4 linked regions of the Arabidopsis thaliana genome follow. The protein of the gene in region 1 purifies or fractionates together with the protein of each later gene. This does not show direct contact. Each region holds a gene or a part of one and is shown on either strand. Other genes may lie near its edges.

Region 1 (7,210 bases):
AGGGTCCGAGCGCTAGAGTCTGAGAGGGCATTTCAACGCGTTGCAGCTGTTCAAAAAACAGTAGGAAGTGTAAGTAGAGCTTTCCATTCTCATGTCTTTTTTACATCAAAATCTCTTCAAGTCGTTCTTTGAAAGCATTTCATGTTTTCTGTTTTATGTGTTAAAGTTGGTTTCTTTTCCTCTTTTTGTTAAACCCATTGTGTTTCTCTACAGGCTGTTGCTGCAGGAAGTTTAGTCAATCTCGCAACAATTTTGTATCTGAATTCTATAAAAGTAAGTTGGTACTCTTGTTCTTTTTTTTTCACCTATAAACCTCTTTGTCTGCTCAAATTCACCAACGTTCTTGTTTCTTTGTGTTCTCAGACACCTGCAACTATAGCATATACAGTATGTGCTTTCTTCAGCCTCCAAGTTCTAATCGGAATCATAAAGGTTAAGAAGTTCGATCAACGGGAAAAACTAATCACTGGAACAGCTTAAGAACTTGCTTGGTATGTCATGATTTATCACCTCTTGATGTTTACAAGTTACATTATCAGACTCAAATTCTCACACTCATTTTTTGGCTTAATTTGTACAGAAGAAATGTATTAAAGCTTCTTCAATCTCCATAAACCCTTTTGTGCATTTCACAGGAGTGTTAACAATTTCACTGGTCTGCAAATAAAATTATCTTATGGAAGCTTGAGAGGCAAGAGATGGTCAACTAGTCAAACCACCACCACTCTCTCATCTCTGTCTTCTTAAAGTTCGATAATAATTTTTGGAGAGGAGACTCTGGTTGTTCATCAACAGAGTGGTCATGAGCCACATGTATTGCTTGTGTATAGAGAGATTTAGAAATTAGGAACTTTTTCGTATAAATATACTCATTGTACTCAGCTACTCACTAGACTCATCTCTGTTTTAGTAATATTTTGAATACTGTATCTCAAATAAATTAATCTTATCAAATAGAAACCATAGTTGAAAAGTCATGAATGATTCTTAACTGTACAAAATAATAAGCTTTGGTAAAACCCTAAACTTTCGTTTCCAAGATGCAATTTCTAGCTTCTCTCGTTTCCAATTCCAGAAAGTTTGGTCGGAGATGGGATCGAGCTCTCTCGTTGCATCATTTCTCTTCGAATGCGACACCAGCTTCGATATCAAATCCAGCGTTCGTCGAGTTTCTCAGGGACAATGGGTTCCAGAAACCTCTAGCAATTGCCATCGCAATGCGTTACCCTAACCTCAAATCCCTAGAACAACCTCGGTCAGTGATTCAAATGCTTAAAAGTTACAGTTTTTCCGATACCCAGATCCAGAAATCGATCCGGGTCCATCCTCGAATGATGTTCTACAACGTGGAGAAAATTCTAGAACCCAAACTTCGATTCTTTAAAGATATTGGATTTACTGGCTCTGGTCTTGGTAAGTTCGTCTCTCAAAACTCATCAGTCGTTGGTGTAAGTCTAGTGAAGAAATTGATTCCTACCGTTGAGATTCTGAAATCGATTGTTGCCCCAAAACATGAAGACCTTCCTGTCATTCTTAGTAGATGTGGTTGGCTTCTTCTCAGTAGAGACCCTAACTTGTTTCTCTTACCAAACATCTCATACCTTGAAACCTGTGGAATTGTTGGGTCTCAGCTTGCTTCTTTACTTAGAAGACAGCCAAGAATCTTCAATCTCTCTGAGGAAAAACTCAGAGGATATGTCTCTCGTGCTTTGGATCTTGGTTTTACTTTGAACTCGAGGATGCTTGTGCACGCTGTTATCTCGTTAAGTTCTTTGAGCGAGAAAACGTTTGATCGAAAGGTTAAGTTGTTTATGGCTAATGGATTCTCTGAAGATGAGATAACAGATATTATACGAAGATCTCCAGGTTTGATCCGGTGCTCAGAAGATAAGCTTACACTGGGGTTTGAGTTTTACTTGAAGAGAATGGGGTTAGAGAGGGAAGCTTTGGCGAAACGTCCTTGTGTGTTGTCGTATAATCTTGAGAAGAGGGTGATTCCTAGGCTTAAAGTTTTGCAGATCTTGAGGGAAAAAGGGTTGTTGTTAAAAGAGGAGAAGAAGAAGAAGAACATGGTTGGCATTGTTGAGATGACTGAGGAAGCTTTTCTAGAGAAATATGTTGTGAGATTTGGAGATGAGATTGCTGAGGAACTGCTGGTTGCTTACAAGTGCGTGTGTTTAGTCGATGAAACGCTACTTGATCGTATCAAGATCTAATTGTAGATTTCACAAGTCCAAACTTGAAATTTTGTCATTGTATCCAAACTTCGCTCATCCGTAACTGTGTTGAACATTATAATTTGGAAGTAACTCTTAAATCACCCTTTATTACGAGCTTGAAGCTTCTCATATAATAATGGGATTCATATGAAGCGATTCTTTTTCTATTTCAGCACTTGAGCAAAAACTCAAGATTGTCAAAGCGTCTTAAAAATTTGACTCATGAATTTAACCGGTTTGATTTTGGTTCGTTGTAATAACCGGTTTAAACCAGAGATTGATTCCGGATAAAAAAGCTTAGGTTTTTCCGCGAAGCCGACACTGTAAGGTAGGGCTAAAACCTTAGAATAGCCGGAGAGAAGAAGGCGAGAAGAGGAGCGACAAGGGCGAAGCTGCAGAATTCTTCGGTAATTTTCAGATTCGGTTGAATAATGGCGGCTGCGGCTTTTGGGCAGTTAAATCTAGAGGAGCCTCCACCGATTTGGGGATCTCGTAGTGTCGATTGCTTCGAGAAGCTTGAACAGATTGGTGAAGGAACTTACGGGTATTCTTCTCCATTCTTTTTTTTTCTGGGTTTTGTTCCTTGATTCCAATTTATTTGGTTTTGTCAGAGTACTCGTGCTCAAGACTGAAATTTCTCAAATTTGAACGATTTCGCTAGGGCCACTTGATATATAAGTTTTTTTGAAACAATTTTGATTGTGAAACGTTTATATATAGTTATTGATCCATATATTGTTGATTTGAGGAATTTTAACTTTGCCTCTTATCTCAATAAATTCGATTTTGTTGATTGAATTTGGGAATTCTCAGATTCTTGGTATGGTAGATATATATATATATATATATATATATATATATATATATATGTTGCAATAAACTTCTGAAGCTGTCTCTTTTGATGGTGTTTAGATTCATATATTAAAATTTGGTTTTGCAGCCAAGTGTACATGGCTAAAGAAATTAAAACTGGTGAAATCGTGGCTCTGAAAAAGATCCGTATGGACAATGAAAGAGAAGGGGTAAGCTACATTTGAACTACCAGTACTAGCTTTGACAAGTTGCAAATTTTTGTGAGTTTCGTATGACTTATATTTCCGTTTTCATTGTTTGCATGGAGTTTCCGATAACCGCTATCCGGGAGATCAAAATTCTGAAGAAGCTGCATCATGAAAATGTCATCCATTTGAAAGAGATTGTTACTTCTCCAGGTAATAAGGAACTCTTATCTTAGCTTGTAATTGCTTTAGAAATTTTGTCAAAAGGGGTGTTAAGTTTGATATGTAGAGTTTTGTGACTGTTTTTGTCTTTAAAAGGTCGAGATAGGGATGATCAAGGAAAGCCAGGTTAGTGAAACTTATTCAAGATCGAAATATTTTCTGTACAACTTAGATGCGACTATGAGAGATCTATTTAAACTGCTTACGGCCTAAAGCTTGTTGCTTTTCTTCAATTTTAGATAATAACAAATACAAGGGTGGAATCTACATGGTCTTTGAGTACATGGATCATGACTTGACTGGACTTGCTGATCGTCCTGGACTGAGATTTACGGTTCCTCAGATAAAGGTATTGCATGGCTAGACACCTTGTTGTAGTAGCCTTTGCAAAAACCCTTATTGTTCCGACTTTGTCTGACATTTGAACATATGTAAAAAAGTGTTACATGAAGCAACTGCTGACTGGGCTTCACTATTGTCATGTGAATCAAGTGCTTCACCGTGATATAAAAGGTGAATATATCCCAAAATACATTGTTGACCATTTTGTTCTCTTGTCTTTATTTGCTAGTTAACCTATAATATATTGGTGCAGGTTCGAATCTACTTATTGACAATGAGGGAAATTTAAAGCTAGCGGATTTTGGGCTTGCTCGGTCATATTCTCATGATCATACTGGAAACCTCACAAATCGTGTCATCACTTTGTGGTATAGGTATGTATGCCTACAAACTTTGAAGTTATATACAAAAAAGTGACAAAGAATAAGTATTGCTTATACGTGCAGCTTTTTCTCTACTTATGCATTGTTTATTGCTGTAGGCCCCCTGAATTGTTACTTGGTGCAACTAAATATGGACCAGCGATTGACATGTGGTCAGTTGGATGCATATTTGCTGAACTTTTGAATGGAAAACCAATCTTGCCTGGGAAAACTGAGGTCAGGATTTCATCTTATGATTATCGTGGTGTGTGTTATTACAGTGTTCTTTGATGATGTTTCCACTTAGCGTTTTAGTCATATTTTTTTCTTTCCAGAATGAACAATTGAATAAGATTTATGAGCTTTGTGGATCACCTGATGAAAGCAACTGGCCTGGAGTTTCCAAGATGCCTTGGTATAACCAAATGAAATCATCTCGGCCCTTAAAGAGACGCGTAAGGGAGATCTACAGACAGTAAGTATAAACCATTATGTAGTTGCGACTCTTTTATGCAACAGTTACTTTGATCCAGGAGATCTCATTTGGTCCTTTTCTCTTCTGCTATAGCTTTGATCGCCATGCCCTTGAACTACTTGAGAAAATGTTGGTACTTGACCCATCTCAGGTACCAAAGAATTTTTAATACAGAGAATTAAGAGCCTTGGTCTAGACATTTAAGTCCTTTCATTTTCCTGTCTGTTGGTACAGAGAATATGCGCAAAGGATGCTCTTGATGCTGAGTACTTTTGGACTGATCCGCTGCCATGTGATCCAAAGAGGTAATCAAATTCTCTTAACTTTCTTGTTATGAAAACCCATTTGGTTCATCATACATCACAAATGACGATCAAGAACAATTAGTGAGTGATTCAGCTTGTACTGAAACTGTGTTATGTCAACAGTCTACCGACATATGAATCATCACATGAGTTCCAGACAAAGAAAAAACGGCAACAGATGCGTCATAATGAGGAAGCAGCCAAAAAACAGAAACTGCAGCATCCACAGCAGCAACATTCTCGTTTACCTCCACAGCAACACGGTGTTGGCCAGTCTCATGCCGCTCCACTTTGGCCTGCTGGACCAAACCACCCTATGAACAACAACGCACCACCACCCCAAATACCTGCTGGTGGCCATTACTATGGAGGAAAGCCCCGTGGTGGTGCACCTGTTCCAAACCGGTACCCTCCTAGCGGAAACCAGACTGGTGGTTATAATAATCAGAGCCGTGGAGGTTACAGCAGCGGAGCATATCCTCCACAAGGTCGTGGTGCACCATATGGCGCCGGTCCTAGAGGACCTAGCGGTGGCTATGGTGTTGGACCACCCAACTACTCACAAGGTGGTGGTCAGTATGGTGGATCTGGTGGCTCTGGAAGAGGTCAGAACCCTATGGGTGGTGCTAGAAACCAACAATATGGATGGCAACCGTAAAGAGAACTCAAAGAGACTCGTATGGTGTGGTCTTGGCTTGATGTCTTTAAGGCAGTTGTGATTTTAGATATGAAGACTTATCTTCGCGAAAGAGAATCTATTTTCATTTGATTTCTTGTCTTAATGGCATTCTTCCAAACATTCTGTGATTGTTGTATGTTTAAATCAAGGTTTATATATCAGAACACAGGAAACCAAATTGGATTTTTACCCAAATCTTATTATTTCTTGCAAAAAAACGTTTCACAACCTCTTATCTGTTTTCGATGAAGTGTGGAAAAACTACACGAATCAGTGTAAACCCCAAAAAGAAAACGAAAAAACTCTCCTCTGAAGCAGCTCCAGCAGTAATTGTGTCATTTCTCATTGCTTATTGTCTTATGCGGATGATTCTACTTTCAGAACAACTTTCATGAACTCGTAAACAAAGTAACTGATTGCCGCGGAAGGCAAAACCTGCAATAGTGAGATAATTCACAAAGCTGTAAAACCTGCAATAAGCTGGTTCAAGAGATTAATTTATGACTAGTATTAAGGAATCAAACCTGCAATAAGCTGGGAATCAAGCCAGCATATAGAGCAGGAACACCTCCTTGTTCAATGATCTTCACACAAGTAGCCACTGCGCTTAACCTTTTAGCATGTGACTGCATTTGTAAACGCCTTCTCACAACTTCAAACGGATATGTTGCTGCTTCTGAGCAAGCCCCTGCGATTGCTCCATATAACAAAGTTCTCATGGGACCAAGCTCGAGTTGATCGAAAGCATTAAGTTCTTCACCTTCTTGCTTCATGTGTTCAAGCCGTTTCTTACCTTCCGGTGTATGAAGGTAAGCTGATTTTAAAATATCATAGACACCGTAGAACACAGCTCCCGATGGAGCCATACTAACAAGTGAAGGTACAAGACCTTTGTATAGGGAAAAGAAACCTTCAGTTTGAATCATGTGACGGAATGCACCAACTACACCACCTAATGCTTCTCCACCGGGTGCCACCATAACCGTTCTTATCTGCAATTCAAAACCAAAGTAATGCTAAAGAACCTCCAGAGAATGGTAAAAGAAGCTCAATGAAGTTTTTGTTGTGATTCCACTTACAGTATCAAGTGGTAGACAAAGCAAACTAGCTGTTACTCCGGCAGCTGCACCAGCAACAAACCTCTCGAAATTTGTCGTTTCTTCATTCCCGGACAATTTCAGAAGCTGACCTCTATATGTATCATATGCATAGAAGTTGATGGACTTAAAGGGAGCAGTTCTGAGAATATTAACCAAATTCCCTTTCCAAAATCCTCTAATCCCTTCATTTGTTGCAATCCTCTGAATGAGTTCAAGAAGATTCCCTTGCTCTCCGCGAACAATGTATTCTAGCTTCATCCGTTCAAGAGGTGCAATGCAAGTTCTGCTCAAACCAAAACCCAATGAGCCACCAAACTACAACAAACCAAATCAATACAAAATCTCAAATAAGCATATCAGTAAGTAACCCCAACACTTAAAGTCTACAACTTTATACTGACACTCAATCTCATTTGACCTCAAGAGTTTCGTAGAATAAGTAAAGAAGAAGGAGAGACCTTGAAACCATGGCTGCAAAAGCTCCAGCCCATAAATGCTTGGTTGTGTT
Region 2 (8,023 bases), on another chromosome or scaffold:
CTCTATCGAGTCTAGTTATTAATGTTGAAAGTTGCAAATAAAACAGAAATGCTAACATGTAAATATCGTAGCCAAAAATGCTAACATGTGTATAACGGTTATAACCACAACTTGATGGCCGACCTCTTTTTTCTTTTGGTAACCATAGAAATGGTTACACGTAACTAGTACGAACCAACGAAAACTCTTCTTATTCGATAGTTAAAGATAATAGCAATGCGCAAAAATATCTAGCACTCACACGTGTAGTTTTGGATTCTCATTGGTCGAGAGATCTATAAAACGATACTATTGGAGGTTAGATTTTTCTCATCTCACTTTCTCCATCTTAAAACTCTTTCTTGTATTTATTTTCCTCCCAAAAAACATCTTTAAGAGTCCTCATGGCGATGTCTTTATCAGGAGCTGTTCTCAGTGGCATGGGTTCTTCTTTCCACAACGTAGGAGCAAAGCAGAGTGGTGTTGGTACCGTCAGAGTTGGCCGGAAGAGTGAGCTCGTCGTCGTTGCTCAGCGCAAGAAGTCGTTGATATACGCCGTTAAAAGTGACGGCAACATCCTCGATGACCTCAACGAAGCCACGTGAGTCTATATTCTTTTCTTTTAACAAATTTTCTCGTGACTAAGGCTATCTTCATGTGTACTCGCAAAAACTCTCATATACATTACGTACTCGCCATGATAGTTATTTTATTTTGGTTAATCCCATCATAACAGTTTTATACATACTATAATCAACTATAATGGCCTTGTTGAGGATTGAGTTTCCATGGTGTAGATATATGTTTTTAAAATCGTTTGTCAATAATGAATCTTAACATATATATATATATATATAGAAAGAAAGCTTCTGATTTCGTGACGGATAAGACGAAGGAGGCCTTGGCGGATGGCGAGAAAACAAAAGACTACATTGTTGAGAAAACCATTGAAGCCAATGAAACTGCGACTGAGGAAGCTAAGAAAGCTTTGGATTATGTGACTGAGAAAGGAAAAGAAGCCGGAAACAAGGCGGCTGAGTTCGTAGAGGGTAAAGCAGAAGAGGCTAAGAATGCCACAAAGTCCTGATTCAACCACTCATGTAGTCATGTTCAATAGTTTACAATAAGATCAGTTTGTTGTAATTTCTTTTTCACCATTTGAAATGAAGAGCTGTTAATTACTCACTAGCACATTTTAAATACGTATCAAATGATTTAAATATAAACTACATTTTAGTGACTACAAGTAACATAGTAGTATTTATGAGTTGGATTCGGGAAAAATCTGTCAAAATCTTCTCTCATTTTGATCCTCAATTATAAAGAAACTGTGAAACTGATGACTGTTTTTATGACAACCCCTAATAATAGCCTAAAAAGATCAAAACACCTAAAACATCAACAATTGTTATATATCCATCTCCTGAGTGAAATCTCATAGGTGTAAGGGGCAATACATACTCTCTTTGTGAATGTAGAAGAAATATTTTTTTTGTCAAAAGTTGTAACCAAAACAAAAAGAACATTGGAAGCTTAGTCCCAAGCACTTGGAGGTTCTCCACCATATCCACCACTTGAAGCACCACCATATCCACCACCATAGCCTCCTCCGCCGCCATAGCCTCCTCCACCACCATAGCCTCCTCCGCCGCCATACCCTCCTCCTCCACCGCCATAGCCTCCTCTACCGCTACCGAAAGACCCTTCCCTTCTAAAGTCACGGCCACCAAATCGACCACCAGACCGCCGGTTCTTACCACCACCAAAAGAGGACCGTGACGCATACCGAGTGAGCCACTCAGGGACTTCTTGGTTAGCTTCTTGCATCAGCTCAGCGAGCGGTCTGGCCAGTGAGGTGTTGCCATCGTTGAAGAAGGCAGTTGCTAGTCCTGATTTGCCAGCACGTCCTGTTCGTCCAATACGGTGGACATAGTCATCAATGTCATTTGGCAGATCGAAGTTGACCACATGAGCCACGTGGGGAATGTCAAGGCCACGTGCTGCTACATCAGTTGCAACCAAAATCGGTGTTCTCCCACTCTTGAAGGCTTTCAATGCCACTTCTCTTTCCTTCAATGCATATATAGCAACACAATAACTTAGTTCCTAACACTTATTGATAATGATGATCAAAGAGTGCATTTCAATAGTTTTTCCTTCAGATTTTGACTTATGTTTAAGCTTTAGTTCAATGAACTATATTTTAACACGAGATCTTCTCTTTGGTCTCAATAATGAATTTGTACGACTGGATTTTGATGTCCACATTAACATACAACATTTTCAGCTTTAAGTTGAATAACAAACCTGCTGTGTTCTGTCACCGTGAATGGAGGTTGCTGGAAACCCATTGATGCACAACCAATTTTCCAAAGAGTCAGCTCCTCTCTTTGTCTCCACAAAAACTAAGGTCAGGGCTTGCTGAAAATATGGAAAGAATACAATCATCAGAAAGTATGAAGGAGCATGTTGAAATATTGAGGCAAGACCAGCTACTTTGGTAATAAATCATGAACTAAACAATAGATGATTCCTTCCAAACAAAAGAGGAGTATCAGTTTGTACCTTGCCTTGGATGCCATTCTCTCTCTGAGCGTGAAGCAGGTCCATGAGATGACTTCTTTTGTCAGAGTCAAGGACAAACTCAACCCTTTGGACAATTAAATCGGTACTTGAACCCACTCTACCCACAGCCAAAAATATATAATTTGCTAGGAAGTCAGCTGCGAGTCTCTGCACATGAAACAATACAATCTTTTAAAATTTGCAAGTGATTATGCAGAAACATTCTATATTATGCAGCTTAATCAGGAAACAAAAGTATGAAACTTCATTAATCTAAAGCTTGCCATAATAGGTTCACCATCATCCATTAATGAAGTGGCATATAATCTTCTGACACATAGAACTATTAATACCATGTCAGTTAACTGGCATTGACCATCGTTTTATAAAAATGGATAAATTTACCCCTGCATAGCCTAGCTAGAATAATAGTAGGACTAAAAGTCATGTAATCAGCTTTACAACAAGAAAACCTCTCTCAGAAAAGATATAACCTCTGCAGAAACCATGCATATAGCTTTGTATATACTATTCACATACACTTTCAGTTTAAGTTGGACATTTCTTTTTCCCCCTCATTTTTTTCAGAGGACCAAATGGATATAACTGGACACAGAAGGTTGTTACGACAAAACCCCAACATAGAAAATGTAACAAGCAGATAATTTGCAAGGAAAAAGTATGGAACACAAGAATCAACACACATGGCAAAGAAACTTAAATAAAAATTCGGAGCAAGGCAGGGGTAGTAGTCAGAAAGTGAAGAAGTTCACTAAAAATGATATTTCAACCAATGAGAAGGTGAATAAAGAAAAAGTGATTTACAGACAAGTAACCAACCTGAATTTCTCTTGGAAATGTAGCACTAAACAACAGTGTCTGTCTAACTCCACGTGGAGGCATGTCCATTTGTTCGACAATCTTTCTAATTTGTGGTTCAAAACCCATGTCAAGCATTCTATCGGCCTCATCAAGAGCTAAAAATCTAATCATCTGCATTGAGACTCTAGCTCTCTCGAGCAAATCATTTAATCGACCAGGCGTTGCCACAAGAATATCGACTCCCCTCTCAAGTTCCCGGAGCTGCACAAACAACAAGACACAAGATCAACATGTTGACTTTTGAAAACAGATTAAGTAACACATAGATACAGCTACGACATATAGCAATGCTTCTGCATGTCATATATTGATAAATCCTTAATATAGAAAAATGCTGGCTCCAAACCAAAACATGCTTTTAACTAAGTTAAGCAGCCTTAGAAACGAACATGCTTAACCCAAAACAATCAGCCTAAGAGACGACACAAAACAGACAGCAGTGACAGACGCATGAAACAAAACTCAGAAATCAAAAGTTCAAACAAAAAAGTAGAAAAAAACAAACTATTTGCTCATTACATACCTGCTGGTTAATAGGTGTTCCTCCATATGCAACAACCACCTTCACACCAGTTTGGTAAGAGAACTTTTTAGCCTCATCATGTATCTGCCAAAAATCATTAGAACAAGATATGAGAAACTAACTAACTTCTACCAAAGCGAAGAATCTTGACATCAGAAGAGAACCCCAACCTGACTTGCCAACTCTCTTGTTGGTGAGAGAATAACTGCAAGAGGGTAGACTGTTCGTGAACCACGGGGTCTCTGTACATGCTGATCTTTCATTATTCCACTAATGATTGGAAAGCAAAAAGCAGCTGTCTTCCCCGACCCTGTCTGAGCACAGGCCATCAAATCCCTCCCTTCAAGCAATATCGGAATCGCATGACGCTGAACAGGTGTTGGCTTAACATATTTGCATCTACGGATATTTAGATTCAATGCCTCCCCGAGATCTATCTCTGCGAATGTGTTAACAGGAGGAGGCACATTATCCCCACTGGTCTCAATCGGAATATCTTCATAGGCATCAAAATTAATAACCGTATTATCCTGCTCAGTAAAAGCTGGTTCTGGTTCGGAATCATCATTTTCAAAGGGGTTTACTTCACGTTCCCTACGGTCCCACCCTCCGCTTCTGTTGTTCCAACCACCACCTCCTCGTCCACCATAGCCAGAGCCAGAGCCAGGACGACCTGCATCAGCCCTATAACCACCACCACCTCCAACACCAACACCACTACCACCAGGAGCCCATCGAGAGCCAGAAGGTGGACCACCATAACCTACACGATCATTAGCTGGCAATGGAGCAACAGGCTCAGAAGCTGCTGGCCTGTTCCTTAGATGTGGAGGAACATAAGCAGGTCGTGAAGGATGAGAATTCTGATTAGAAGACCCAGAACCCGTGTTCTCTGAGTCAGCTACATCAGCCCATGATGCACTCATAATCGAAAAGTATAACGTCGTAAAAAAAAAACTAGCTTGCAAATCCTTGGATATCAACAATCAAATTCTCAAAGCTCCTCCCTTTAGTTTATAATCTTCAATAGAATACAAAAACCTGGAAAGTTACAAGATGGGTTTCAGTTAGAACAATAGCACTCCACGGATATCAATAGCAAGCAGCTAGGAACATCTTTAAATAACGAAGCCCTATCAAAACCTCAAAAAACATCATAATCGAATCGACCGAATAACAAAAGTCCAGTCTTCGGAGAAGAGCATATAATCAAACGAAGAATATAACAAGACAAATGCCAACAGAATCACGCAAAGAGAAGAACAATGTTCACCTCAAAAAGGAATAACAAAAACAAAATTTGCAACAAAGAGTAGCAGATAACCCTAGCTACAGCTCTCGAAATCAATCAGCGTAAACCCAGAGATAGAAGAATCCTCAAAACACGTCCCAAAAAATCGAATCGAAGAAATCAACGGTAAACCCTAAAATTCCTTTGAATTACCTTTTGGTATCGGAGACAGAGCAAGATACAAATGCGCAGAGCGATAGAATCAATAGAGAGAAAAGAGAGGTCGAGAGATATTTTTTAATTATTTTGACTTTTTTGTTCTTCTCTTATCAAACCAGATTGCGTCCCGTTTTCATCAATCTTTCAACTTGCGTGTCGGTTTAGTTTTCTCGTTCTGGATTGTATGTCGGCGACTTATGTTGAACTCTCTTTCTTTTAGTTTTTAATGAATTTAAAATTTAAACTGTTGTAAACACACTTCTCCTCTCATTCCATTTGGCCAAAATATCTGCCTGCGATGGTGATGAGCATATTTGCCATAATGATAACTTGTTCATCTCCAAGACTCCAACCTCTAACGCACGAAGACTCGCACACTTTCTCACAAGAGCTCTGAGACAAGCACTAGTATCAGCATCCGGAGGAGTGTCCACTGATGCACATAATGCTACTACCCATTTGCAGTCGCTACTCTCTAAACCGCTCTCCTTTTCACCAAACATATCCGCTTTCTCAGCTTTGATACCCGTGTCACTGAGTCCATTCCTTGTATCTCTGAAACCATCCCACCAAATGACTCATCAATGTTTGTGTGGGGACGTTTACTGAATATCTCCATGAGTACATCTCCTAAAGACTCGTTGCCATTTTGTTTTAAAGCCTGTGAAAAACCCATAAAACTTAAAGTCATTACTTGTCCGTTAAGAGAAACACTGATAAGTATGCAAGTTGGAAGAAAGGAATACCAGACGAATGTGTGAGAAGTCGGAAAGCAACGAGTCCTCCCATTCCTTCACCGGTTGCAGGTGCTCTGGGAATTTGTGGCATGTAAACACTTTGCTCTTTCTCTCTGTACTTGCTTCCACTTACCTTGGCTACTTTTACATTTGGAATTCGCTTAGCCTCCCACCTTAAATGATGGAAACAACTTAACCATATATGCCTAAATGCAGATACACAGAAAGATTGAAACAGAGTGACATATATACCTGACTCGTCTTAAATATTCAATCCCGTCTTCTGGTGGTCCAGAATCGAAATCAGGTTCTCCATCCACAGCAAACGCAGGCCTCAAAATGCTATTGTAATCGTCATTATCTTCAGTTTTCTCCTCTTTTACAACATAGTCTTCTTCAAGTAGTTAAGTCATCAATTCCTTGCCTAAATGTTCTCATGAAGAAACAAAAAGTCACATTTTCTTGGAATCTCAGTTTTGATTTCTATTGAAGAAACCAATAAAAACAAAGAAAAGAACTAAGCCCATCAAAAAGATTTAGCTTTCAAAGGTATTGATTTTTATTGAAGATGTATGAACATGTACAACTTTTTAGCCGATAAAATCATGGCCATACACACTTTGAACCAAACAAACTCTCTAGACCCCTTTAAACAATCTGAACTAAAGAATCTATATACAGAAAGAATGTATTGTTTCTTAGAAAAGGAAAAATTGGTGAACACAGGATTTATGAAACACAGGCTTCGACAGATTTCTTCAGGTCAATGTACAAAGAGACGGGTTCGTCTTGGTACAGCCGATATGGGACCTGTGGAAAAGAAAACAAACGGCCCCTATCAAAAAGATACTTAGGAACAACCACTGCTGAAAGAGTCGCAGACACTAAGCCCGACTGGATTTGTCACTTTGAGATGACCATTAGAGAAGGAAATCACCATAAAACCGTAGCAAAGAAAAAGCCATTTGAGTGACACACACAAACAAAAATGCAGCAGATATAGCTTAAGGTTATACATGAGCTAAGTAATCTTAACTTGGAGTGACATATTTCTATTAGACCTAAAAGTTTCCTCAACATGTTCAACTAAAAACAGGCAACACCACAAAATGCAGCAGCTAAGATAAAAGTAAAGTAAGTGGAGGGTTACCGAGGATACTCTTGTGATTCTTCAAACCTTCGTACTCAGTCACCAGCTCAGGTAGGAGTCTAGCATACAAGTCACTCCACAGTTTCTTCTGATTCGCAATGTGGGCATACCTCATCGACTCCATTTGGTTCCTAGAGTACATTATCCGCAACTGCTTCCCATTCATTTCTCCACTGTTACGAAAGTCAGAAACTTTGGTTGACGCATTCCTTTCAACAATGCTAGAAGCATTTCCCTTATCAATCGGTTTCTCTACTCCAACTTTCTTATGCTTTCTTGGTGCATCCTTATCAGTGTGTGCAGTTACTGGTCTCTTAGAATGATCTTTACCTTTCTTGTAGAAAGGAACAACATCAAACAACGCAGTATCATCAACCAAATCAATATTCACAGATCTTCCAACAAATGCATTATCCTTAACTCTCACTCTTTCCACCTTCTCACGCTGATCTTTAGACCCATTTCCATTCTTTTCGATCTTATGGATATCAGAAGCCCTAGCGAGCGTGTCCCCATCATTCTTCTTCTCAGTCTCCCAAAGTATTTGAACATCAGAATCTTGTCCCTTCTTCTGAGAGTTCAAAATTTCTTTCATATCAGAGATAGAACCGACGCAATCATCCTCTATCTTGTACACATCATCTCCAAATTGATCACTTTCTGTAGAAATCTCAGAGACTTCCTTAATCTGTTGCAGTTCCTTATTCTCTTCAAGAAACGTGGAACCATCTCCGATT
Region 3 (6,826 bases), on another chromosome or scaffold:
GAATATCTAGTACTCAAACCCAAGCGCTGTTGTCATGTAATAGAGAATCCAGGAGACAACAAACTAAACTATCTTCATAATAACACATTTGAAAAACAAAAGTTTCAGACCAATCACTAATCATCCATCAACCTCTAATAGAACAAGAAAAAGACTTTAAGACTTCAATCACCAATTTTCCAACGTTCATGGGCATTTGTAAATTTTGCTGTATCAATCTCAAATTGTAACTGGAAATAAAGTTGAGAAATAGACTCACTTGGAACACCGACATCTCATTATCAAAGTAGTTCTGTGCATTTGTGATAGGAACACTGCAACTCTCTGCACATCGACTAATCTCAGCGTGTGTTCTTGTCCTATCAAAGCACTCGTATGCACATTTGAAATATGCCTTCTGCATCAACACAAAAGCACAAAAATAACTAACTCTTATATAAATCTCAAACTACGCAGTAAGCAAACTAAGTCCAAGTACATATCCAATGGCTTCTTCGAAGAGTATACACAGAGAACATAACTTTAGGAATTTAGCAACTAGGAGAAAGAAAACTGAGTCTAGGGAGCTGTGAAAAATCCACTTTGTTTCTTCAATTTTAGAAAGAAGACATCAAAATTTTCAAAAACTTTTTTTTTTGTTTGAGAGAGAGAGAGAGAAAGAGACGAACTTGAAGGGTGAAATTGATGTGGTCTTGTACTGGAGAAAGAAGAGACTGCGACGCAGAACTGACTTCGTTAACTTTCTTTCTAATCCTCTCTCTCACCATCTTCTCCTCCGCCGTTTGATCCATTTTTTCCCGGCGAGTTGATTTATTAGTTCAACTTTGCTCTCACAATGATTCACTCGAAAAAGTTTGGAATCTTTACTTGCAAAAAAATTAGACAAAAAAAGACTGAAAAAGAGAACATTTTTTTACTCCTTCCCCAAGTTCTCATAGGTAGCTTCAACCGCCTCCCATCTCTGAAACACTACCTTATTTGGGCCTAGCCTCTTTTAAATTGGGCCCATTTACGAACATTATCATCTCCTTTAGTCTGGCTCAAGCATGAAGTTACCTCAACAGCCGTCTCTGTTTCTTCTTTCAAAATCTATCAACTTCTCACTTTTTTTTTGTCAAGGGTTTCATTATTATTGACTTTACATTAATTTATAGAGATAAGCATTAAGCATGATCGTCAAACATTGACCAATTAGTTAAATGTAAACTGACATTGAAGATATTCAATTATTCATCATGATCATCCATCAAAATTGCTAAAAAGCCACATGAGTTGTTTGTCGAGAAACAGGGGAAAAAACAGAGAGACAAAACAAAACTAACCTGAACTTAAACAAAACTCCACAGAGAAGAGGAAGACTGAGTACAGACCATACTTAAACTGTTTTAACTACTACAAGTGTGCTAACGGACCAAAGACCAAACATATAGTGACTGGGAAAAACAAAGCTACTAAATCACTGCATCTCAACTTTGTAACTAGACCCACCAACATTATCAGAAAACCATAGTAATCTACACCAATTTTAAGAGCAGACAGATGAAATGAGGAACCGGGAGGATAGGTTTTTGTTTTTGTCTTTGTCCTTTTAGAGCTGCACTTCTCTGTCGTGTATCCAACTGAAAGGAATCTTGGGTCCTTTCTTGGCTCTTGCTTGAGCTCTCTCATCCAATCTCTTGATCCTTGGAGCCAACCCGCATAAATAGTCTTGTGCTTTGTTTCCTTCACCTGAAAGCCCGGTTAAGTCCTGGATTTTCCACCTACCAACCAGAAACTCAAGAATGTCTGCATAGTCTTTGGCGGTGTAAACACCGAGCCTCTGAGCCACGGAAGAGAAGTTGTCAAAGAGGTTGTCGTTGCGCCCATCATACATCAAGTGAGCAGGCATTGAGATTTTCTTTCTCATCATGTCTGCAAAAGCCATGACAGTACCATCAGGATCAATCTCAAAGAGCTTTTCAACTATCTTGGTGTATGCTGTTTCATGACGCTTCTCGTCTGCAGCTATTGTGCCACATATTTGGGCTAGTTTGATGTCCCCGTGCTCTTTGGCTTGGCGGGCTGTGTTTCCGTGAGAGATGAATGTCGCTCTTTCTTGGAATGACGTATAGATGAAGCCAAGGTAGGGGTTATTCTCTGTCCGCGGATCCTATGAAAGATAAGTTAAAGCGATTAGGTAGTTATATTAACCAAGAAATCATGATAATTGCCTGAAACTATCTCACCATTCCAGATCCAATCAAGTACTGAATGGTCTTTTCGATCTGCCTCATGTCAACACGACCAGACAAGTAAAGGTATTTATTCAGAAGATCGCCATGTCGGTTTTCTTCTGCAGTCCAAGCTCTGGTCCAAATAGCCCATGAAGTAGGACTAGCACCTGTTTCATCCCTAACTCCATCCAAAGTGTTCAACATAGTTTGATAGGTCGGAAGTGCTTCTTCTGTGATCATGTCCCCCACCAAAACAACAAAGTAATCATCAGGGAGCTCTCTAGCCCTCTCTCTTAACTCTCTTACCTGATCTTCAAACCCATCTGATGCAGGGTCAGGCAAGAAATCCTGGGGTTGCCAAGACTTCTCCACATCCTTGAGGTGAATCAGAAGGTTCTCCTCGGCCCAGTTTTCCATAGATTTGAAGATCTCGATCTTTTGAGGTGGCATGGAGTGCAAGACTTGAACATGCACTTCCCTGGGTGGCGTAAATGGTTTCTTCAAACTCTCAACCTCCCTGCATTAACCAGAAAATAAGTATCATTAGCATTTAATTATGCTCCATTGAAATTACCAGTCAAGGTCTCATCTCTGATACACAACTGAAACAAGAACACAGTTTATTGTATTTAGATAAGCATTCATGTCTACATTTCCAAATCAACTAATTCTATGTTTGAAGCGAAACAATTTCACAATTCATGACTAGCAAACACTTAGAGATGGTTAACCGTAAGACAATATTTTATATTTGCATTCATGGATTGGTCTTGCAGTTCAATATGAAGCAAAAAAGAAAGATTGTGAAAGAAACAAATGTAGTGACTACTGATCAGACAAAGACAAGATAAAGAGCCAAATGTCTTCAAAACAGAGAAAGAATGAATAATAAATTACAGAAAAGTGTGAAAATTTTGGACGCAAACTAAAGAGAGAAGCCACGAAGTACGCATGCATAGAGAAAGGCCACGAAGCGTGATATCCAACGTAATGTCTTTGAAGAAAGATAAACAGACGTAAACTGATACGTTCAAGAATCTCTTGTCAATACAAAAGAGAAAACTCATCAAATGAGTAAGAAACAAGTGGATAAACATTTCACCATTAAAAATTACTAAACCAGAGAAAACAAAACAAAACTTTCTCTTTGACTAAGAAGCTTTCCTCAATGTCTGTTAAGTCTTAACCAATCTAAAGATCATTATACCATAAAGAAGATAACTAGTGTTAATCTTAACTAACAACCAATCAACGAGCAATCTACATAATCTGATGCAGAATAAATATGGTAAAGGCAACGATTTGATAGATGGGGCAATCTCAGAGAAACGTGAGAATAATAGGGAACAATCAACAAACATCAGATTCAATGAAAAAGAGCATTAATGAATCACCTGAGAACAGAGGATGGCCCATTCTTATAAACCCAGATTAAAAGAACGTACTTTTATTGAAATCACACTCGAGATTAAGCAAATGTAAGCAAATAACACTGAACAAAATCGAGAAAACGTAGATCCAATATCGATAAGAACAAGCAAAACCCAGAACACAGTAAACAAAGATGAAACAGAGAGAATCGAAAGTAGATAAGAGAGACGATGATGGAGAGAAAGAGACTGACTTGGGGCCGGAGCTGAGAGCCGGAGAAGAAGAAGCGAGGCAGAGGAACTTGGGAGATCTGAAAGAAGGAGTTGGCGGACGAGTCGAGGAAGGGAATTTGTAAGGCTGAGATGCCACCAAAGGGTTAAACTTTAGAGCCATTTCTGGATATGATGAATGAATCCTTCTTTTCTACAGAGCTAGAGCTCTCCCTCAATCTCTATCTCTCGGTCTGAGTTTGGTTCTTCTGGCTTTTTCTCTCAGGTTTAGTTTCGTCCACAGAAAGAGAATGCTTATGCACAGCGTTGAGCGTAGCAAGCAATAAGAGAGACGAAAATAAATAATTCTTTTTTTTGTTAAAAAAATTATTCTAATAAGGAAAATGACGTCATATTGTCATTTGTGTGTGAAAAACAAGGTGACAAATTATAAAAATAAATAAATTGGGTATCTGTTCTAAAATACCCTTGAGATGCTTCAATTTTGACACTATTGTTCTTACATATGTCGGTAAAATATTTGTATCAAATAATTATTAGTCAACAATAATGATCAATGATACATCAAAACATCGAGTAGCTAAGTAGCAGTATACTAAATATTAATATAGTTGAGAAAAAGTTGCAAGAAAAAAAAGGGATACATCTTGAAAAGAATTGTTGATTAAAAATTCTTTTATTGAGTTGAATAGTAAAGTTGAAAAAATTGATTACTTTTGAGCACCTATGTCAAAGATGATTATGATTCATGCTTAGTCTCTTTCACTCATGACTTGTGCTAATTGTTAGATGACTCTCCTATATGTGTGATAATTTGGTATTAGATCTATGAAAATTGATGAGCAATGAGAAGGGGTAAAAAGGTCAAAACAAAATATAAAGTGTTTATATTAATTTATGTGAGTTTTGTAATAATCGACGTACTCGGGCGTGAGAATCCACGTAAAAGCCAAATAAGTTTGAAGCATGAAAGAGACAGAGAGGGGACAAGTGGCATAGGATCTCCACGTGGATGTCCCACTTGGCATATGAAAACTCTATAAACCGTACATTGGGTTTAATGGTTTTTTGCATTTTAGCATCATTCGATACTTTTCTGCCAAGTTTAGCTAGCTCAACGTTTTGAGTAATTTGATAGCACAACGTTTTCGGTTTTTCATTGAGACCATGACAACAAATTTAAACTTATTCTTTGTTTTCGTTCCATCACATTTAAGTGTAAACATTAATGCTTGTTTAACATCTCTTTCGGTGATTAACATTAATCAATGGAGTATATACTTCGATTAACATCTCTTTCAGTCATAAATCATAAGTGTGTGTAAACATCCCCATTGGTGTTCACCATACGTTTGTGTAAACATTAGATCTCTTAAAAATATCCAATTTATCCAATAAGTTAGCACACAGAAGAAATATGTAGACTTTTCATAGCTGAAAAACACAACAAGTACTACAACATAAAAGTAAACACAAACGCATACTTTTCAGGTCATGTGTAATTATTCCACCGCCGATATAAGTATAAACAGAAATCAAAACGATACATTCAATACAATCACCAAAATAAAGATATTTATCAAGCAAACACCGTCACATTTTTAGATTTCTCACCAAACCTCGACCATCACTTTTTACCGTCCGACGGAAGTCATCGCTTCCGTGATGGTCAAGTGTCCTTTCTGACTCCTTTGTCATCAATCGAAAACATAAAATATTTACAAACAAACATGTCATATATCATTTCACGACCGAACTCAGCATCACGTCTCAGCGTCCCCGGGAGGTAAAAGGTTCCGTTAACGTCAAGGTACCAATGGACCCTTGTGATGTCAAAACACCAAGTACACTCTCAGATGTCTCAGACCACATTCTGACCTTCTCTGCTTTGACTATATCGAGTAGATTATCTGGAAGCTGCAGATCACCACCCAAGATCTGGACCACCTTAGACATGTCTGGCCTAATTGCTACAGCCTGGTGCGAACACAACACTCCCAATTTCAAAACAAGCTCGAGCTGTTCTCTATTGTCTTCGTGACGGATTCCATCATTGACTGCCTCGAGAATATCTCCGTTTTCCCAGCACTTTAATGTCCATTCAGCTAGGACGACCTCGTCGGAGGCTGTTCTTCGCTCTATCAGCCTCCTACCGCAAGAGACTTCTAGCATAAACAGCCCGAAGGCATAGACGTCTGTCCCTGTGGTTGCTCTTCCGCTTCTTATGAGCTCCGGTGCAATGTACCAGAATGTCCCAGCAACTCTAGATGTCTGAGGATCATAACCCTGATCGTACAACTTAGCCAACCCAAAATCCCCGAGCCTTGCATTCATTTGGTGGTCAATCAGGACATTTGCCGGCTTGATGTCTCGATGAATTACAACTTGTACCCATTCATGATGCAAATAGCAGAGTGCAGAGGCTATGTCTTTGATGATCTTGAAACGTTGATTCCAAGTGAGTTGCTCTTGATTCGCTCTGTGGTAGAGGTACTTGTCAAGACTTCCATTGGGCATAAAGTCATAAACCAAGTAGAGTTCCTCCTTGTACCTACAATAACCCTGAAGCCTGACTAGGTTCTGGTGTCTAAGCCGACCAATTGTCGATATCTCAGCCAAGAATTCCTGCATTCCTTGTTTTGAATCATGTGAAATTCGTTTAACGGCAATCTCTGCATCAGAACCTGGAAGTGTACCCTTAAAGACCTGACCAAACCCTCCTTTGCCTAGAAGTTGTTTGAAACCTTTTGTGGCTTTAAAGAGTTCTTTGTAAGCAAACCTATGAGGCCCACATTGGATCTCCCATTCCTCTAGAACCTCTTTAACCTTTTTATGTCTCCTGTAGAAAAAGATACTTAAAGCTGATGCAACAAGCGCAACAAAGAGAACCAATGCCAAGCTGGTCACCAAAACAATCCGATAAACCAGAGATTTTTCCTTGGGATATGGAGGAAATGTTGGTATTCCCAAGTCCAGGTTTGGAACATCAACGCCGCCATGTACAAACCAACT
Region 4 (7,115 bases), on another chromosome or scaffold:
AATTTTCTGACATCTGTGACGCTTTGTGGATCAGCTTCAACGGCTTCTCTTATGAGCACGACGAGTTTTATCCAGCTGACGATTTCAAAAACTCCGACGAGATTCAAGAATTCGAAGAGAGGTTTCGAGCTTGTTCCGAGCAGATGCAAGACATCGAATGTCCCAAGGTCCATGAAGGCACCCAGGTCTGCGCCACGTTTCCTTCCGTCACCGAAGAAGTCAAGTTCTACGACGCTATCGTCGTTACGGTGAGTTCTAGAAATTAATCCCGGTTTAGTGTTTGAAATCTCAACTCCGGTTTGAGTAATACGGTTTTTGTGTATATAGGTGGAGAGGACGAAGCATGAACGAGACGAGGAAGGGAACGAAATTTGTGGATGTGATTTCAAACTTTTCTGGAAACAAGGTCCTTGGATTAACCAAGTGACTACTGCGAAAGTTGGAGATATTTGTCTCAGAGCAAAGGATAATCGAATAAATCCAAAAGTGGTTTCGTTCTTGAAAGAAGCTAGAAGGAAGCTTCATGGAGAAACATGTAATCAAGGTAATTTATTACACTTATCTTTCTTTTGTCTTATGATTAAAAACTTACTATGTAACGGATTAGTGTATATGTGTGAAACAGGGGAAGAGACAGAGTGGCAAAAGATTCTTGAGAAGGTGAATTCTGCTATTCAAAACAACTTAAGCGTTGATGGATGATTATGTTATGTTGCTTAGTGTGTTGCAAAAAAAAAACTGAATACTCTAGTTTGGGGAAGTCTCTTAGTTCATGCCTATCACTCCTTGTTTTTTTTTTTCTTGTTGTTGAAGTCCTTGGTCTGAAATATATATGCTTGATTTAATTGTGTTGATGAACATCACATAAGGTTTTGTAAACAGAGGCATAATTGATAATTACATTTGCAAACTCTAAAGTTCACAATCATAGTCCATCAAATACTTAGGAGCCGAACATCAAAAATGAGAAATTCCAATTCTAAAAACATTAAGATATCAGAAACCAGAGGCCCGCCGTAGAGATTGCCATTGCGACGGAGAATAATGGTGACGTATGGTGGATCATCAATGTTACAAAAATAAAAAAATAAAAACGGGTCAAAAGGTCAGAAATAACAGTAAAAAAGAACTTGCAGAACAAGAAATAGGTCAAAGTCTTTCTGACGGTACAAAAATGACAAATTCGTCACGGTGATGATGGTGACGTAACTGTACCTGAGAGTAGAGAGACCTTGATTAGAGACTAGTGAGAGAGACTTTCCACAAATGAATCATTGAATACTAACTAATGAAGAAGAAACTATAATCACTTTATTTACACCAAAAAAAAGGGGTATTATTTACATTATTCAATTGAACGGATTCACGAGTCGGGGTTGTCGTTGCTATAAAATCTGGCTTAAAGTTGATTGGCCCCTTTTTGGGTTCAAGTCCATCTACTATGTAAACAGCATTTGTATGATTCCAATTTTTGGTTTTTAAGCAAGTGTAAAATAGGCCAACAAAAGCTATCTGGAAGAGGAAATCTGGGAAACAAATGCTATGGTCTTATCACTTGAAACACAAATCCATTTTTCAAAAAGATTCAAGTGTTAAAAAGGAAAGAAACAATCTTTTGCAGCTACAACACCATTCAGAAACCCCTCATCAGAGATTCTATGAATTCAGGGCAGTTTTATTGAACATTAATCAGTTCGACATCAAAAGTCAGCCAAGAATTAGGAGGAATCTGGCCACCAGCACCCTTCACACCATACCTGGGAGCCAAACAATATTATCATCCCATTAAAAAGGTTTAACAAAACATTGCTAATTCAAAATAACATAAATCAAAATGAGTTTACTTACCCCATTGATGGAGGAATTGTAAGCTTCCTTTTGTCACCAACGCGCATGCCTGTGGAATTCAAAAACTTGAGATGAATACAACACGATTCACTTTTTGAACAAAGTTATAAGTAAAAAAACAGTAAGAAATTAAGATATATACCATTAACTCCAACATCCCATCCCTTAATGACTGATCCAATACCTACACGTTACAATAAGAACATAAAGTATCACTTACACCAGCAATACACTGTAATTCTCAACCAATTTCCCAAGCTATTATCTTTGAATCTAGTTATAATACCAACCTAGACGAAACTTAAATGGTGATTTTCCAATGTTGGAATCGAAAATCTTCCCATTCTTCTGAAGTTTTCCAATATAGCGCACAGAAACCTGCACTCAGAGACAATAGAATGAGCTCCAAAAAGATTTGGGAAAACACACAAATACATTGATGCACTCTAATAGGATTTTGGATTCAAACCAAGTTCACAAAGACAATTAGCCAGAGTTAACCACAACTTAAGGGTTTGAGTGTTTGTAGGTTTTACAAGCCATTAGTTTGTTCACTTCCTATTTAATGTATATTCTTTGGTGCTCTTAGGTCTAAGTCTAACAAGGTATTACTTTGCTCACTTTCTATCTAGTGTCAATTCTTTCAACACCCACATTCTTATCACACTACCACCTTGTTGCATAATCTATATGAGATTGCAGTAACCATATGATATTATGTGTGCAATTTATGACTTTAAGTGTGCATACCGTTTTTCCAGGATCAGCTCTCTTGCCGTTGGGTTTTCCCATGCTCAACTCTTCAACAATGAGCCCATTTGGGTATGTCCGTACTTGAGAAGACTTGGAGTCCGCTGGGGTTTGCTTCTCAACAGTACCAGAAATTTCTGCAGCTTCGTCACTTGGTTTCTTCTTTTTCTTATTTTTAGTTTTCTTCTCAGCAGATTTATCTGGGGTCTTGGAGCTTTCACTCCTGCAATAATACCATAAAAAAGCACAGACTTTTGTTAGGAGAAAAAGTTTGAAAGAACCGCTGTATACTCATAAGCGTTTTTTACTTTGTGATCTATGTGAGTAATAATTCAAATACTTACTTACTGATATTTCACAAATGACATAAACACAATCTGTTATCACCAAAAAAGTTCTCAAATCAAGAAATAAGAGTTCTCACATGGCATTGTTTGCAGTTCCATCTTGAGCTTTTGTGTTTGAAGAAATTTGGCTAATATCCTGCTTCTTCAGAACATTTCCCGTCTGAACTTGTCCAGCTTCCTCATTTAAGACATTTTCCCCTTTCTTCTTCTCTTTCTGATTTTTCTTCTTTTTACTCTTGTTTGCACTGGAACAGATTTTAGAAACAACTTCGTATCCCCACGATATATAAAATATGTGAACTCTGTCCTCAGAGTCAATAGAGAGCAAAGAGAGTAGTACCTTTCTTGTCCATCATCTTGCTCAGCAGCCTTGGCCTTCCGTTTCTTGTTACTACCTTGTTCGTCATTATCTACAACCATCTTCTCACCTGACGCATTCTCTACTTCAGATGATTTTCCTTTAGGAATAGGTAAACCGTCTTCGTCTTCATCTTCGCTTTCCAAAACTGGAACATGGGCACCCTCTATGGCAACGATTTGTTTCTTTGCATTCTCACCTTCGCTAGCTTGACTCTTCTTCTTGGTTTGTTTTGCCTTATTATCTTTGGCAGGTTTCTCTTCATCTTCTATCTCCTCAATTATAACTAGCAAAGATATCATTCAGATTAGTTTTAACAGAACAAGGAAAGATCAATCATATAAACTATTAACACAAATGTAGAACAGGATCAGCACCAAGGAGACACACTTGTACAAAAGCTTAAATTTACGGACATACATTTGAAAAGTCTTTTATCAATATCTTTTTGAAACCTTCTAGTTATAAGACAAGAGTGACGAATCAAGCAATCACACTAAGCTAAAATGGAAGTACTAAGATGCAATCTGATAAGGATCTCTGTAAGAAAAAGTACCTCCACTCTTTGGGGCAGCAGCATTCCGATACCTTTCAAGATTGCTATCAAGGAAGTCTTCAAATTCATCCAATTGCTCATCCTCTTCACTATCATATTCACACGAATCGTCTTCCTCAGACTCACCAACATCAATACCATCTCTATAATATAGTCGCAATGAAAACATTAAGATTTCTAAACAGATGGAATAATAGAAAAACAAGAAAGCATTATTTGCTAAAGTAAACTAGTAACAATGAAAGGATACGAATCATCTTCATCATGCTCATAATCATCTTCATCGTCCTGATAATACTCCAAGAATCCAGACAAGTGGATACTTCTGTCACCAGTCACGGTGAATTCCACTGGCTCATCATCATCGTCAAACTCAAGATTCAGAGGGCAACATTCGATTTTGTTTGGCAACAATGAACACAAAGCAATAGGAGCCTTGTCTCCTATTGAACACTGAATCACACTCTTTTCTTTGCTCAAACCCGTACCTAGAGTTGCCTGAATGATGGCAAAACATACATACATCAATAGATATATCAAACATATTCAGATTCCAAAACTAGACTACACAAATATACAATTCATATCCCAAATCAGCTCGAAGGAACAAGAGTATAGTACCTGGGTCACGTGAATCTTTCCTTGTTCATTTTTTGGATTATAAGCTTGAGGCTTCCCAGGTTTCACTTCAAGTCCTGCATATGTTAACAACACAAAATCAGAACCTAGGAATCATGCTCCGGGAAAATCAAAGAAAACACTGAGCAGAGAAAACTAACCCCAGAATCCCATTTTCTCAGCTAGGTTACTCCTTGGAATCGAAGCGGCAACTTTGTTTCTACAGACTAAAACCCTAATCGAAGGTTTTTAGCAGACGAGCTTTATATCGAGATTAAAGCGGTTTCGAGAAATTTCGACAATTTGTGCAACCGCGCTCTCAGTTTGGGCCTTAACAGACTTTGAAATTCAATGAAGCCCCAATGAAGCCCCAATGAAGCCCATATATTGGTCTGTCATAAATCGTAAAGTAAATGGTATTGTCAAGATACTCTTCATATTTGATAACATTTAATTTGTGTTCATTATTTTACTAGAGTTAATTTGAAAAAAAAATCTATAATTTTCTCTCATGTAAACGCAAATTCAGAAATTTTGTTTTAAATAAAACAATATGAGACCTATCTTTCAACAAAACAATACAATATTGAGACCTAAACACACTGTACAATGACGTGAGTTTCTATCTTTCTTGTCAAAATCTGAAGTAAGTGTACAAAGTAATGTCTTTTTGTTGTATGTAACCAAGTTAGTTAAGTGTTTGTATCTCTTGTTACCAAGGAACGAAGAGATTTCCACTTGATTTCTCCATAATTCTACCATCGCTTAGGTCTGACCCTGAGAGTGAGCCAGCCTCGAGTTGGCTCTCTGAAGAATACAGCGGAGAGGCAAAGCTCGATCGTTACAGTTGTATACCGGAACAGCGGTGAAAAGTTTAGTTGTTGTTTAGGTAATTTTGTGAAACCAAGTATTTTCTTGTTAAGCTAATTGTTATGATGATCTCCATCTTCTTCGTAGTTGAACGGTAACGGGACAGTTTTGAACGCCCTGTATCTCCCAACGTTGTTCAAATGCTCATTCTCCAGCCTAATCAACAATTACATTTCATTAGTTTTGTGTAGATTCATGCATGAAAACACCATCTTCTCAGTCTCGGAGCTTACCTAAAGAAGTTCCAGATACCTCTGCGTATGATCTCAAGGCAAGCCATAAGCGCGACCATAGTTTCTCTATGCAAGAAAGAGAATTTCAGATCCAAAACTGTTTGCAACCACACTAACCTCAACAAAACATTCAGGACCTGCCAAGTACATGAAGCAACAATCTTCACCATATATGTATAAAGAAAAAACAAAAACAGAGGTTATTGCTGTTTTCTGTTTGCTCTCACCATTGCAGCGTAGTACACGGTTTTGTGAGGAACAAGAAGCTTGTCTCTCAAGAAACTATTCTTACATCCTCTTTGAAGCAATCCCCAGTCAAGAACAATGTCCCAGTAAGTTCCGTAAAACGTTGCAACTCCTGAGAAAACCCAAGCTGTGATATTCCAGTTGCTTCCTCGGTTTAGAGTATAAGCTGTTCTAAGAGAAGCAGCAACGATGGTCAAAAGGTATTTGATGCCATTGTAGCCATGACTCAGATCTCTGTCTTCCACCATTCTTCGGATGCACTGAAGAAACCGTAACCAGTAAGGTATAACGGCGACGATGAAGTAGAATGTTCTGAATCCAATATTTGATGTGCAGGTGTTTCGTCGTCTATATCTGAAATCTCCAAAACCATAGTAGCATATGTAGAACTCTAGACTCCTCAGTGCTTGAACCTAGCATTGATTGTTTAAATCAGAAATCATCGATCAAAATAAGTATGAAGCTATCTTATCGAGTATAGATTTTCTCGAACCTGGCTTGTTAGTTGATCTCCCAAGAAAAAGTCCGGAAGATGCACCTGCAAAAATGGAAGACATTCTTCTTAACATTTCTGTTTATGCTTCAGATGAATGGAGAGGAGGATATGTTGTTGGTACCGCGTAAAATGGTGCAGCAATGCAGCGGAACAGAACCGAGAGGAAGAAGAATCGGCTTGACCGATACAAAATGTTAAAGGGGCAGAGAACAATGATAATCACTAACTGCAATATGCAGAGAAACGAGTCTTACTAAAAACAAAGATTGAGTTGTGTAAAATGTACTGAGAAATAGAGAGAGATAGAAGGAACTTACTACGAGAAGAAAGAGGGGGATAAGTTCGGTGACTAATCTGTAATCTTTTGTTTGAGCATCCATTTCCATGTCAAGGTTTAATAAGACAGCACATAAAGAAAGTGTACCAAGACCAAAGCTGAGAAGTAGAACATGTCTATAACCAAGTTCAGTGCCTTGTTTGAATCCAAAGATGAAGGAGTAATTCACACGGTATCGCCTCCAGAAGTAGATATTAGCAGCGTACACGTCCATGTGCAAAACTACAAACCCAAAAAACCTGCAAATGAAATGTATATATCTCAAGAATATTACACAGAGACAGAGATAGTGTGTTTGGTTTATATTTGGTCGTTTTACTGACCTGTAAAGAGGGAACATTGTTTCCATATAAGTTCTTTGTCCCGGTGTACCCATGATATTACGAGCATGGATGATCAAACCCAGAGCTACAATGAGAGAAATACCACAGCCGAAAAAGAAGCCTAAAACAAAAC

What was found.
Region 2: the proteins of CDKC2 (region 1) and AT2G42520 fractionate together in Arabidopsis thaliana (co-fractionation; one large-scale study listed by BioGRID). This does not show direct contact.
Region 3: the proteins of CDKC2 (region 1) and SSI2 purify together in Arabidopsis thaliana (affinity purification with mass spectrometry, with the first as the bait; one large-scale study listed by BioGRID). This does not show direct contact.
Region 4: the proteins of CDKC2 (region 1) and FKBP53 fractionate together in Arabidopsis thaliana (co-fractionation; one large-scale study listed by BioGRID). This does not show direct contact.

Annotation. Positions count from the first base shown.
Region 1 is NC_003076.8:25,952,847-25,960,056, forward strand, and holds CDKC2 (cyclin dependent kinase group C2), read left to right. Parts: upstream 1-2,527; 5' UTR 2,528-2,650; coding exon 2,651-2,763; intron 2,764-3,159; coding exon 3,160-3,241; exon of another isoform or gene 3,242-3,303; coding exon of another isoform or gene 3,304-3,339; coding exon 3,340-3,430; intron 3,431-3,535; coding exon 3,536-3,565; intron 3,566-3,678; coding exon 3,679-3,788; intron 3,789-3,879; coding exon 3,880-3,952; intron 3,953-4,034; coding exon 4,035-4,155; intron 4,156-4,262; coding exon 4,263-4,380; intron 4,381-4,478; coding exon 4,479-4,618; intron 4,619-4,711; coding exon 4,712-4,769; intron 4,770-4,852; coding exon 4,853-4,923; intron 4,924-5,046; coding exon 5,047-5,581; 3' UTR 5,582-5,959; coding exon of another isoform or gene 5,960-6,037; 3' UTR 6,038-6,045; intron 6,046-6,120; downstream 6,121-7,210. Other genes in the region: ATH13 (ABC2 homolog 13), read left to right, coding at 1-69, 214-273, 364-480; AT5G64950 (Mitochondrial transcription termination factor family protein), read left to right, coding at 1,041-2,216; AT5G64970 (Mitochondrial substrate carrier family protein), read right to left, coding at 5,960-6,037, 6,127-6,594, 6,682-6,985, 7,161-7,210.
Region 2 is NC_003071.7:17,702,234-17,710,256, reverse strand, and holds AT2G42520 (P-loop containing nucleoside triphosphate hydrolases superfamily protein), read right to left. Parts: upstream 5,517-8,023; 5' UTR 5,394-5,516; exon of another isoform or gene 5,223-5,393; intron 5,060-5,222; exon of another isoform or gene 4,991-5,059; 5' UTR 4,876-4,990; coding exon 4,120-4,875; intron 4,034-4,119; coding exon 3,950-4,033; intron 3,628-3,949; coding exon 3,385-3,627; intron 2,713-3,384; coding exon 2,545-2,712; intron 2,401-2,544; coding exon 2,287-2,400; intron 2,050-2,286; coding exon 1,513-2,049; 3' UTR 1,197-1,512; downstream 1-1,196. Other genes in the region: COR15B (cold regulated 15b), read left to right, coding at 384-580, 838-1,066; AT2G42510 (survival motor neuron interacting protein), read right to left, coding at 5,639-5,954, 6,094-6,309, 6,389-6,530, 6,917-6,946, 7,314-8,023.
Region 3 is NC_003071.7:18,117,258-18,124,083, reverse strand, and holds SSI2 (Plant stearoyl-acyl-carrier-protein desaturase family protein), read right to left. Parts: upstream 4,212-6,826; 5' UTR 3,978-4,211; coding exon 3,838-3,977; coding exon of another isoform or gene 3,834-3,837; intron 2,731-3,833; coding exon 2,226-2,730; intron 2,150-2,225; coding exon 1,589-2,149; 3' UTR 1,195-1,588; downstream 1-1,194. Other genes in the region: AT2G43720 (FAM136A-like protein (DUF842)), read right to left, coding at 260-397, 669-791; AT2G43700 (Concanavalin A-like lectin protein kinase family protein), read right to left, coding at 5,585-6,826.
Region 4 is NC_003075.7:12,957,982-12,965,096, forward strand, and holds FKBP53 (FK506 BINDING PROTEIN 53), read right to left. Parts: upstream 4,791-7,115; 5' UTR 4,652-4,790; coding exon 4,639-4,651; intron 4,555-4,638; coding exon 4,481-4,554; intron 4,358-4,480; coding exon 4,110-4,357; intron 4,003-4,109; coding exon 3,860-4,002; intron 3,590-3,859; coding exon 3,286-3,589; intron 3,191-3,285; coding exon 3,023-3,190; intron 2,822-3,022; coding exon 2,599-2,821; intron 2,227-2,598; coding exon 2,139-2,226; intron 2,033-2,138; coding exon 1,991-2,032; intron 1,914-1,990; coding exon of another isoform or gene 1,898-1,913; coding exon 1,849-1,897; intron 1,758-1,848; coding exon 1,676-1,757; 3' UTR 1,368-1,675; downstream 1-1,367. Other genes in the region: AT4G25330 (SAWADEE protein), read left to right, coding at 1-248, 328-544, 626-702; SHB1 (EXS (ERD1/XPR1/SYG1) family protein), read right to left, coding at 5,401-5,503, 5,581-5,717, 5,808-6,239, 6,320-6,364, 6,444-6,548, 6,640-6,898, 6,983-7,103. UniProt on the Arabidopsis thaliana protein: PPIases accelerate the folding of proteins. It catalyzes the cis-trans isomerization of proline imidic peptide bonds in oligopeptides. Histone chaperone possibly involved in H3/H4 deposition to the nucleosome.